Linked DNA regions of Caenorhabditis elegans. The protein of the gene in region 2 interacts with the protein of the main gene of each other region in a pairwise test. Each region holds a gene or a part of one and is shown on either strand. Other genes may lie near its edges.

What was found. The genes of interacting proteins can lie anywhere in the genome.
Region 1: the proteins of dpy-7 (region 2) and gras-1 interact in a two-hybrid assay, tested with the Caenorhabditis elegans proteins (one large-scale study listed by BioGRID).

Annotation. Positions count from the first base shown.
Region 1 is NC_003279.8:7,833,388-7,837,719, forward strand, and holds gras-1 (General receptor for phosphoinositides 1-associated scaffold protein 1 homolog), read left to right. Parts: upstream 1-2,420; 5' UTR 2,421-2,439; coding exon 2,440-2,547; intron 2,548-2,598; coding exon 2,599-2,815; intron 2,816-2,864; coding exon 2,865-3,104; intron 3,105-3,152; coding exon 3,153-3,325; 3' UTR 3,326-3,580; downstream 3,581-4,332. Other genes in the region: F30F8.1 (RING-type domain-containing protein), read right to left, coding at 1-38, 83-310, 357-558, 607-797, 846-1,160, 1,205-1,381, 1,427-1,678, 1,724-1,812 and 1 more; F30F8.9 (Letm1 RBD domain-containing protein), read left to right, coding at 3,677-3,753, 3,841-3,962, 4,217-4,332.
Region 2 is NC_003284.9:7,535,231-7,539,580, reverse strand, and holds dpy-7 (Cuticle collagen dpy-7), read left to right. Parts: upstream 1-1,788; 5' UTR 1,789-1,792; coding exon 1,793-1,948; intron 1,949-2,127; coding exon 2,128-2,928; 3' UTR 2,929-3,114; downstream 3,115-4,350. Other genes in the region: glb-16 (GLOBIN domain-containing protein), read left to right, coding at 217-329, 389-528, 576-786, 841-1,100, 1,146-1,271, 1,349-1,447. UniProt on the Caenorhabditis elegans protein: Nematode cuticles are composed largely of collagen-like proteins. The cuticle functions both as an exoskeleton and as a barrier to protect the worm from its environment. Mutations in dpy-7 affects the body shape.

The DNA.
Region 1 (4,332 bases), on a different chromosome or scaffold from region 2:
AACTTGCGGTCTTCGAACGATGCTTGGAAAATCACAATCTGAATAATTGTTAATCTGGTTTTGAACAACACAAAATTCCTACATCAAGTTGCTTATCCCAGCAAGTGTACTTCTTCAAAGCAATTCGAGCCGATCCACTGATAACGTCCATCAATCCAAGTGAATCATTCCAAATGAACCAACTTCTCTCGCTTGTCTGATCTTCGCGCCCAATTGGATGAACAAGCATTCCACGTCCTTTAATACTGATTTTGTTTGGAGCAGGAAGCTTTGCAGAAATGATACAATTTGGATGCCCAAAGAAACGAAACTGAAATTTCAATGTTTGAAAATTAAAATTTCGTATTATAACTAACTCCTCCATATTCGCCTGGATTAATGACCATGAAGTAGACATAATCTTTTGTATCTGCGCGGGTGTCCGGAATTCTAATATGACCGAGACGTGATGAGTACACGTGAAGCATTTTGGGATCCGATTGACTATCTCTCTGGATCATTCCCTCTGCTAAGAAGGGATACGTTGCCTTGAACTTGGTGCGTACATTGCTCTCAAAGCTAAAAAATCGTGTTCTATTAAAATAATAATTCATTAGGACAACTCACTAAGCGTCTGTAACATTTTTCAGCTCTGTGTTATCCATATTGATAAGAATATCTGTCGCCAAATTGCAGTACTCTGTTTGGTTCATTTGTTGAAATGCTTGGACGGTAGACGAGGAAGATGTACCACCTTGTTGACCAGTTTCTGATGATTCCCATAGAGTACCCATTGAATTCGGAATGACACGAGAATTCTAAAAAATGAATTTAATTTAAATCCCATTTTCTTAATTTTTTTAAACCATTTGCTGTTGATCAAACTGATTTGATGTTCCTTGATTCATACTAAGTTCATTCAACTCTCGCCGGAGAAGTTCTTCCCTCTCTTGGGAACGTAGACGAGCAGTTAATTCAGTGAACATGTTAGGAAAAACCGTTTGACCCGGAAGATATGGAAGATCAATGTTTTCAATACTCTTTCCGCTGGCAATGAATGGTATTGTTTTATTTGGATCGATGACGTCATTGTTTTGAGAAATGTTAATAGCAGCATCATTTGACTCAGAAAGCCATGTACTTTGTTCAATTTGTTCTGCTGGAATCAATACACTTGGACGCTGCAACTAAAAAATTTTGAGAGAACTGCAAAGCTCTAATTTACCGGGAACTGATGACGCTGGACCATTTCAAAAACCCCATCGAGATCAGCGTTCAACTCGGAAGACGGAACTTCACCCTGATTGTTGGCTCCATGATGAATATTTAAGTTGTTCACTTCTCTTATAATTTCAGCTGGAGCTTCATCCACTTTAGGCTGAACTGAACCGAGTTTGCGTGTCTGTCAATAAAATTCATTAAACGGGAATTAAAAGTTAAAACCAACCAGGACAGGAATTGATTGAGATGAAAGACGACGTTGTGATGAAGCTGCCAAAGTGGAACTGGAAGGAACAAGCGCAGTATCTAAGGCTGGGACAGATTCGGAATTCGACAATTCTTGGATTGGGAGAAGCCTTTGTGTGAACGAGTTTCTCACTCCAGCAACTTGACTACTAGTGGGCACCTCTGACGATGTAAATGATTGAATTTCCTGTCGAAGAGATTGAGGTGGTACTTCACTTGAGCGAACCATGTTCTGGAAACATATTTTATCAATCAGAATATGAAAACAAAGTAAAACCGTTTGCGCGATTTGCTGAGGAACAGAAGTACTGGTTGGTAGAACTGCTTCACCAGAGAGTACAGGTGGAGGAAGCGGCTGGGATAAATCTGAAAATCGACTTGAAACTTAGGTCATTAAAAGTTTCCACAAACCTCTCTGATTACCAGCGAGATATCGCTGAGGATTCATACAGAAATTCCTCGTAAACTCATTTACTTGTGCTATATATTCAGCATAAGAATCATTCATCGCGAATGATCCTTATTTTGACAAAAATCAAGGGAATTTTCACAAAAGTAGGAAAAGTATTTAGGAACGAGTTTTCGAAAGCTGAAATTTCGAAAGCGTGTCATGTGTTTGCGTGTTTCAGTAAATACCGTAACCTTCATATATTTCAACAACAAATAAGAAAAGGTGCGCACGCGCTAGTCATTTGTTTGGTCTTTTAGTCGTTTATTTTTTTGCATGATGATTGTGTTTTAGTCACTTTTTACTTAAGTTTAATAATTTTATATGCTTTCTTCTAAAGTTATTACCGAATTTCCCATTATAAACTTTGCGCGTCGAATCTGGCGCTTGCGTACATGTTTCTCGTCTCTAGCTTTTCCTTTCATCTTCTCACCAATTTTACAACTTATCGACTTTGTTTCGAGTCTTGTGTTGTTTAAACATTTAAAAAACTCTAAAAACATGTTTTTTTGTTTAATATATGTTATTTCAGAGTTTCTGCTTTTATGGATCACATCGACGCTCATAGTGCGGTTTCCACGAGTTCGAGCTCTTCAAAATATGATACGCCGGATGACAATATTTCTGAACAGCGACTATTGTGTGACGCAAAAGTAATTATTTGATTCTCCATTGAAGAACAACCATAATATTCGTTACTACAGGAAGAATATCCACTGAATGATTATCTTTTCGATGGGATCAATCAAGAATCCGCACAACGGAGCCTTCTTCTATGTCGTCAAACATTTGAAACTTCCTTTGGCTTTGCTCTCCAATCATATGTATTCAAAAGAACATCTTCAAACAGTTACGAAAGAATAACTTATGTGGATTACGTGTCGGCTGATAGCCCAGCTGATCGCTGCGGGATAACACGAGGTATTCAATCATTTAATTCAGCTTTTCCTGCCAACTACTGCAATTTTAGGCGACATGGTCATTGCTGTCAATGAAAAAAGCGTCGTCACTGCCTCCCATGCAGAAATCGTCGAATCAATTGCTCAGTGTCTTCAAGTCAGTCTCGTTCTGGTCTTCAAAGATGTAGCAAGAATCGTGGAATTGAGCATGCGGTCGATTCAGTTACGATTCATGCTCGATGCAAAAATTAGAGAATTGAGGATGCTCGAAAAGACGGAAGAAGATTTGCAAGCATTATATGACGATGAACGTAAGTCGAGTTTACGGTTATTATTTTGATTATTTGTAACAATTTTAGATGGCAATGAGGAGGAAGACGAATCACTTGAAAGCACGCTTTACGAACTTGATGAGGAGCTAAAAAATGTACAAAATCCACAAGAAAAGGAAGCAAACGGCACTGATTATCGCCATCTCATTCGCATCAACAGTAGCACGTCTGTTGGAACTCCCCAAGTCACGCGTCTCTAGTAAAATCAATGTCTTTCATATTTTCACGTTTATCTCTGAACACTCATGGGTAAACATGTATACTCTAATTATATATTTCGATCCCTGGTACATAGTTGTACATATATGTATTTTAACTTCCTGTCTCCGCCCAAAATTTGCCATTTTATTCCCATTCCAGTCATTTTGATTCCCACAAACCTGTGATCATGGTTATGATTCTAGCCTGCCTGTTATACTATTAGTTTCAGGAAATAACATGAAGTTTTATCTACTATTCCTGACACAATTATTTCAATTATCCATGAGGTTCTGTGCCTTTTCTACTTTTTCGTTTGTTTTTCCTTGACAAAACTACTTTTTTTCAAACAGATGCACTCATTGTCAAGGATTCTTCTTCATCGCAGTAACAGTGTGCTCAATTCGCCTACTTTTCTTGTTGCTGTTAGGTAGACCTTTTCATCATTAAAACCTGTTTTATTCTGAGTATCCGTTAAATTCAATATTATCCCTCTAAAAAATGTGTTCTACTTCAGACAAACATCAGCCGGTCCACCTCCAGCCACTCCAGCTAAAGAAGGATCCTTGACCTACAAGTATGAACAATTTATTGGAAAATGGCCTAAAGTGTTGGCACTTCACAGGACTGTTCTTGAAGGTGAGGGAGTTCTCCGATTAACTTACTTACTTTTGAAATTCAAAAATGACATTTTCTGATCTTTTTTATTTTTATTCAGAGATCTTGACATGCTCTCTTAAAGTCGCACGGATTTATTCAGATGGGTCTCGGCGCAAAGTTTATGGCAACTTAAACTTCGCCCCGTGACTCATCTGAATAAATCCGTACACCTTCATGAAGGAATGCCAAAATCGTGTAAGATTACAATATCATCTTGTGAATCATATATTCAGGCTCTCGATGGTGCTTTGCCGATGTGAAAATGTATTTCAAGACGAAACGAGCTGTGGCTACCGGTCAGAAGAAGCTCACAGATCTCAGCGTTGAGGAATTGGAGACACTTGTTCAG
Region 2 (4,350 bases):
GCAATATCAGCATGACCATTTCTTAAAACCCATTAAATATTGTCTTTACATCGCCTGTCGCCCACAACTAATTCGTCAATCTGGCACCTCGTTATCTTTTTTTCTGTTGCGAGAAACACATATGGCATAGGGAATCACAAGCATGACATTATTTTATGATCATGAAAAAATACCGTAGTTATTTCACATTTTCATAATGCGAAGCGTGAGTTCTAGCCGGACCGTTCGAAAGAAAACTGGTGGAGGATCGGTCGACTCAAACATGGAAGACGGCAAGCAAGCAAGAAAAAGCAGCAGTATGCCAAGTATCTATGATTTACAACAACAAGGTAATTTTAGTTTGAAACATTTTTTTTTTATTTCCAATTATTGCGAACTTCTATTCCAGCAGCACCACCGACGCCTGCCTTGAAACACTACATCTACGACACTCGCTTGAGCAAAATACAGAAGCGTGCAATCAGATTCACCTGGCACCGACTACAGACTAGAAACGGAGGAAAAAGAGTGGAAAATGTTTTTGAAGAAGTAAGCTTCGTTGTGAGATGAGTTTCATAGTAAAAATAAAACTACAGGTTTTTGACAAGCTCGTGAAAAATCTGCCAAACATAAGAGATATGTTCTCGACGAGGATGTTTCTATGTGCAATGTCACGTGGAACTACTTCCACATTACGGGATCACTCAAAAAACTGTGTGAAAATGATTGACTCTGTCATAAAGAATTTTGATGTGGAAAAGTCGAAGAGAACGGACACTAGCTCTGAAAACGACCCGAGAGTAATTGGTATGCAGCATATGTTTAGAAGGGTTTTTTTTTGCTAAATATACTCATTTGTAGGACGTGCACATAGCATCTTGAAGCCATATGGTCTTGCTGGAAACTACTGGGAAAAGTTTGGAGAAGTGATGATTGATGTGGTACTGGCGCAAGAGGCAGTGCGAGATCTTCCGGGAGCTGGACAGGCTTGGGTAATTTTTACCGCTTGCTTGGTGGATCAGATGAGAGCTGGATTTGATGAGAACAGAAAAACTGACCATGAAGCTCAAATGAAAAAAAACACGGTTTTGCACCACGCTACGCAGCAGCTATTGGAAGACGTTAGTTCGAATGTTTCAAAAAGTTTTAGAGATGTTTAGTTTAAGAATGTGGCATCCACCTCAGCAACAACTGCATCGTCTGGAAATGGTGAGTGTTCGAGCTCCAACCAACCATCCACGAGCTCCAATCAACCGTTGGCATGCCCATTTGCAAGAATGTCTCTGACGCCTGTGAGTTCTAATAGGATTTTTGCATTCCTAGTTGATAAATGTTCTTATCCAACGTTTTGCAACTGTACACATTTCAGAAGGACGCTCGTGTGATCGAAAGTCTCTCCGGTAGCGGCGGCAGCGGCAGCAGCGGTAACGGAGACATCAGTGACCTCTCGGGAACAATCTATTTGTAATCTCATTCCACGATTTCTCGCAACACATCCCTTATATTCTACATTCCTTTTTCGCATGTACTCATCTCTTCTCGTTTGGAATCTTTTCTTATCTCCGATAATTGGGTTATTGTGTCGATAAAGACTGACCTATTTAACAGATACACTCCACCTTCATCCACCTTTCCGTTTTCTACAATCCATGTTCTTTTCAATTCAATTCATTTATCACACCCTGTTCTTTTTTTTAATTTATATTTTTTGTCAAAACTCGAAATATTTTTTCTACCGCTCTGTGAAAACAAAACAAGATTCATTCTGAATGAAACAATTTTTAAGAATATTCTTACATTTTGTTCCAGATAAATGGAGAAGCCCAGTTCGGGGGCCAACCACGTGGCAAAAGCCACCGTGTCACTCAGCATTGCCAGTGTGCTCATTCTTGGAGCAGTCTTGACAATGCTCAGCATTCAGTTGGACGAGGCTCACGAACGTCTTCAAAATAGAATGGGCTCCTTCAAGGTTGGTGGTGCGTATGCGTGAACGTATGCGTGAACACTAATGCGTGAAAACTAGATGTGCAAGCAAAATAAGTAGAAGATGTAGAAAATGTATGAAAAAAAAAACAAAAATCAGAGAATAAAACTTGGAGATCTAGTAGAGAAGTAATGAAAACAAAAAACAACCATAGTTTATTCCAGTTCGTTGCTCGCAACATTTGGCATGACATTGTTTTGGTGAAGAGCAATGGAAGAATCAAAAGACAATATGGGGGATACGGAAGTGATAGTGCTCAATCCGACAACCAACAATGCACATCTTGTGTTCAACTACGATGCCCACCAGGGCCAATTGGACCACCAGGAGTTAGTGGAGAACCTGGAATGGATGGAGCTAATGGGCGACCAGGAAAGCCTGGACTTGATGGGCTTGATGTACCACTCGATCCAGAACCAGCATTCCCATGCGTAATTTGTCCGGCTGGCCCACCAGGAACTCGAGGACCACAGGGAGAAGTTGGACGTCCAGGACAGACTGGTGAATCAGGACATCCAGGTCTTCCAGGAAGACCAGGAAAGCCCGGACGCGTTGGAGATGCTGGACCACAAGGTGAACCAGGAGAGCAAGGAGAGCCGGGAATCAAAGGACCACCAGGAGATGATTCGATTGGAGGAACTGGCATTAAGGGGCCACCAGGTCCACCAGGACCAAGAGGACCAAAAGGACCACCAGGTTCGAATGGATTGCCATCTCAGAACAGTGGGCCACCAGGACCGATTGGAGAAATGGGACCACCAGGACCACCAGGACCAAGGGGAGAGCCAGGACCACCGGGGCCATTCGGGCCACCAGGAGATTCCGGAGAACCAGGAGGACATTGCCCATCATCTTGCGGAGTTCAGGAGATTGTTGCCCCGTCCGTTTCCGAGTTGGATACCAATGATGAGCCCGAGAAGCCAGCACGTGGTGGTTATTCTGGTGGTGGTTATGGAAAGAAATAAATCCCTTTCTCTCTTTTTTTTTGAAATGATTTATTGATGATTGGTAGTCACCGAAAAACCAATATCAATGTTAAAGCAACTATCGTAGTATAATTCAAGCCCCGTTTAATTTTGTTTTGCCATTTCAATCATTCCACTCACGTCGTTACAGATTTATTAATGTGCTTGCTTGTGTAATAAATCATTTCTTCGAAAACTAATTTTGAGTATCTGACAAGAAATAAAGCATACATGTCTCAGACTCGGTACAACCCATACGCATAGACACATGAAGCAAAAGCCAAAAGGTATTGAATAGGAAATTCAAGGGTTAACGGCCACGGTCGTAAACTCGAAGACATAAAACAAGGAGAAGAAGGCGACTGGAAAGGCAGCTGGCTGTCAGGGCAGACAACATCCACATGACTCTCGCGCACATACCACAGAGGATAAAGATAGGAGATCCCTGAGAATATCGTTCTGACTACTGTAATGACCTGCAGCAACGAGGGGTGTTAAGTAAAATGAGCTTAATTATATGTTTCGACCATTAGTGGGTTCTACCCATGAAAATAGCTTATGATATGGGTTATGACTTCTGTGGAGTTCTTTTACACTATAAAGAAAACAACATTATATAACACAAAATTAAACCATTCTGATACATTTTCAATGACAAGATGTGATGCTTTCTTGTCTTTTGACGCGTCCCGCGTGTATAATTCAGTTTCCTGACAAGTCATAAGTTGTAAATATTTTATGATTGTTCACCATGTATTCCATTTCCAGAAGCTAGGAAAAAACACAACTCAAGACTGTTTGTTTCCATTCTTATCTTGAAAAAATAACGTTGGTATGAAATTTGGGACATCGTAAAAAATGGTATAATTTTAAAAAAACGGTCTTTTAAATGCTAATATAGTGTACGTGAGAAAATAACTTTCTGAAGTATCTACTCAACGTGTTATTTTCCAAAAAAATTGCATTAAGTTAAAGCTGATTAATATTTAGTTTTTTTTAATTTGGTTTACATGTTTACAAAAGTCAAGAGCCAAAAAATCCAAATTGTAAAGAAAGTCTTTTCTGCAAAACTGTATACATCAATGTCTGAGATGCAGATATAAAATAGTATAAACAAAAATGGAGTAACGTCAGTAAGTGATATTATTGAAGCTGGAAAACTGAGGTAACTTTACTTTTCGAGAAATCTTAGGCACTTCCGAACGCCTGAAATGTTGGAATATAAATATTTTAAACATCATTAGAACAAAAGTTTGAAAGAAAGCTTTTTGATCGATCATTTTCAAAAAAAGTCGGAAAGTGAGTTTCCCCCGTTTTTTGATTAGAAATAAAATATACTTACATTTTTTGAAAAGTGTTATCATGATATGCAGTCATTTTGGCGCAAAGGAAATCTTTAATCATTTCCTCCACATTTTTACA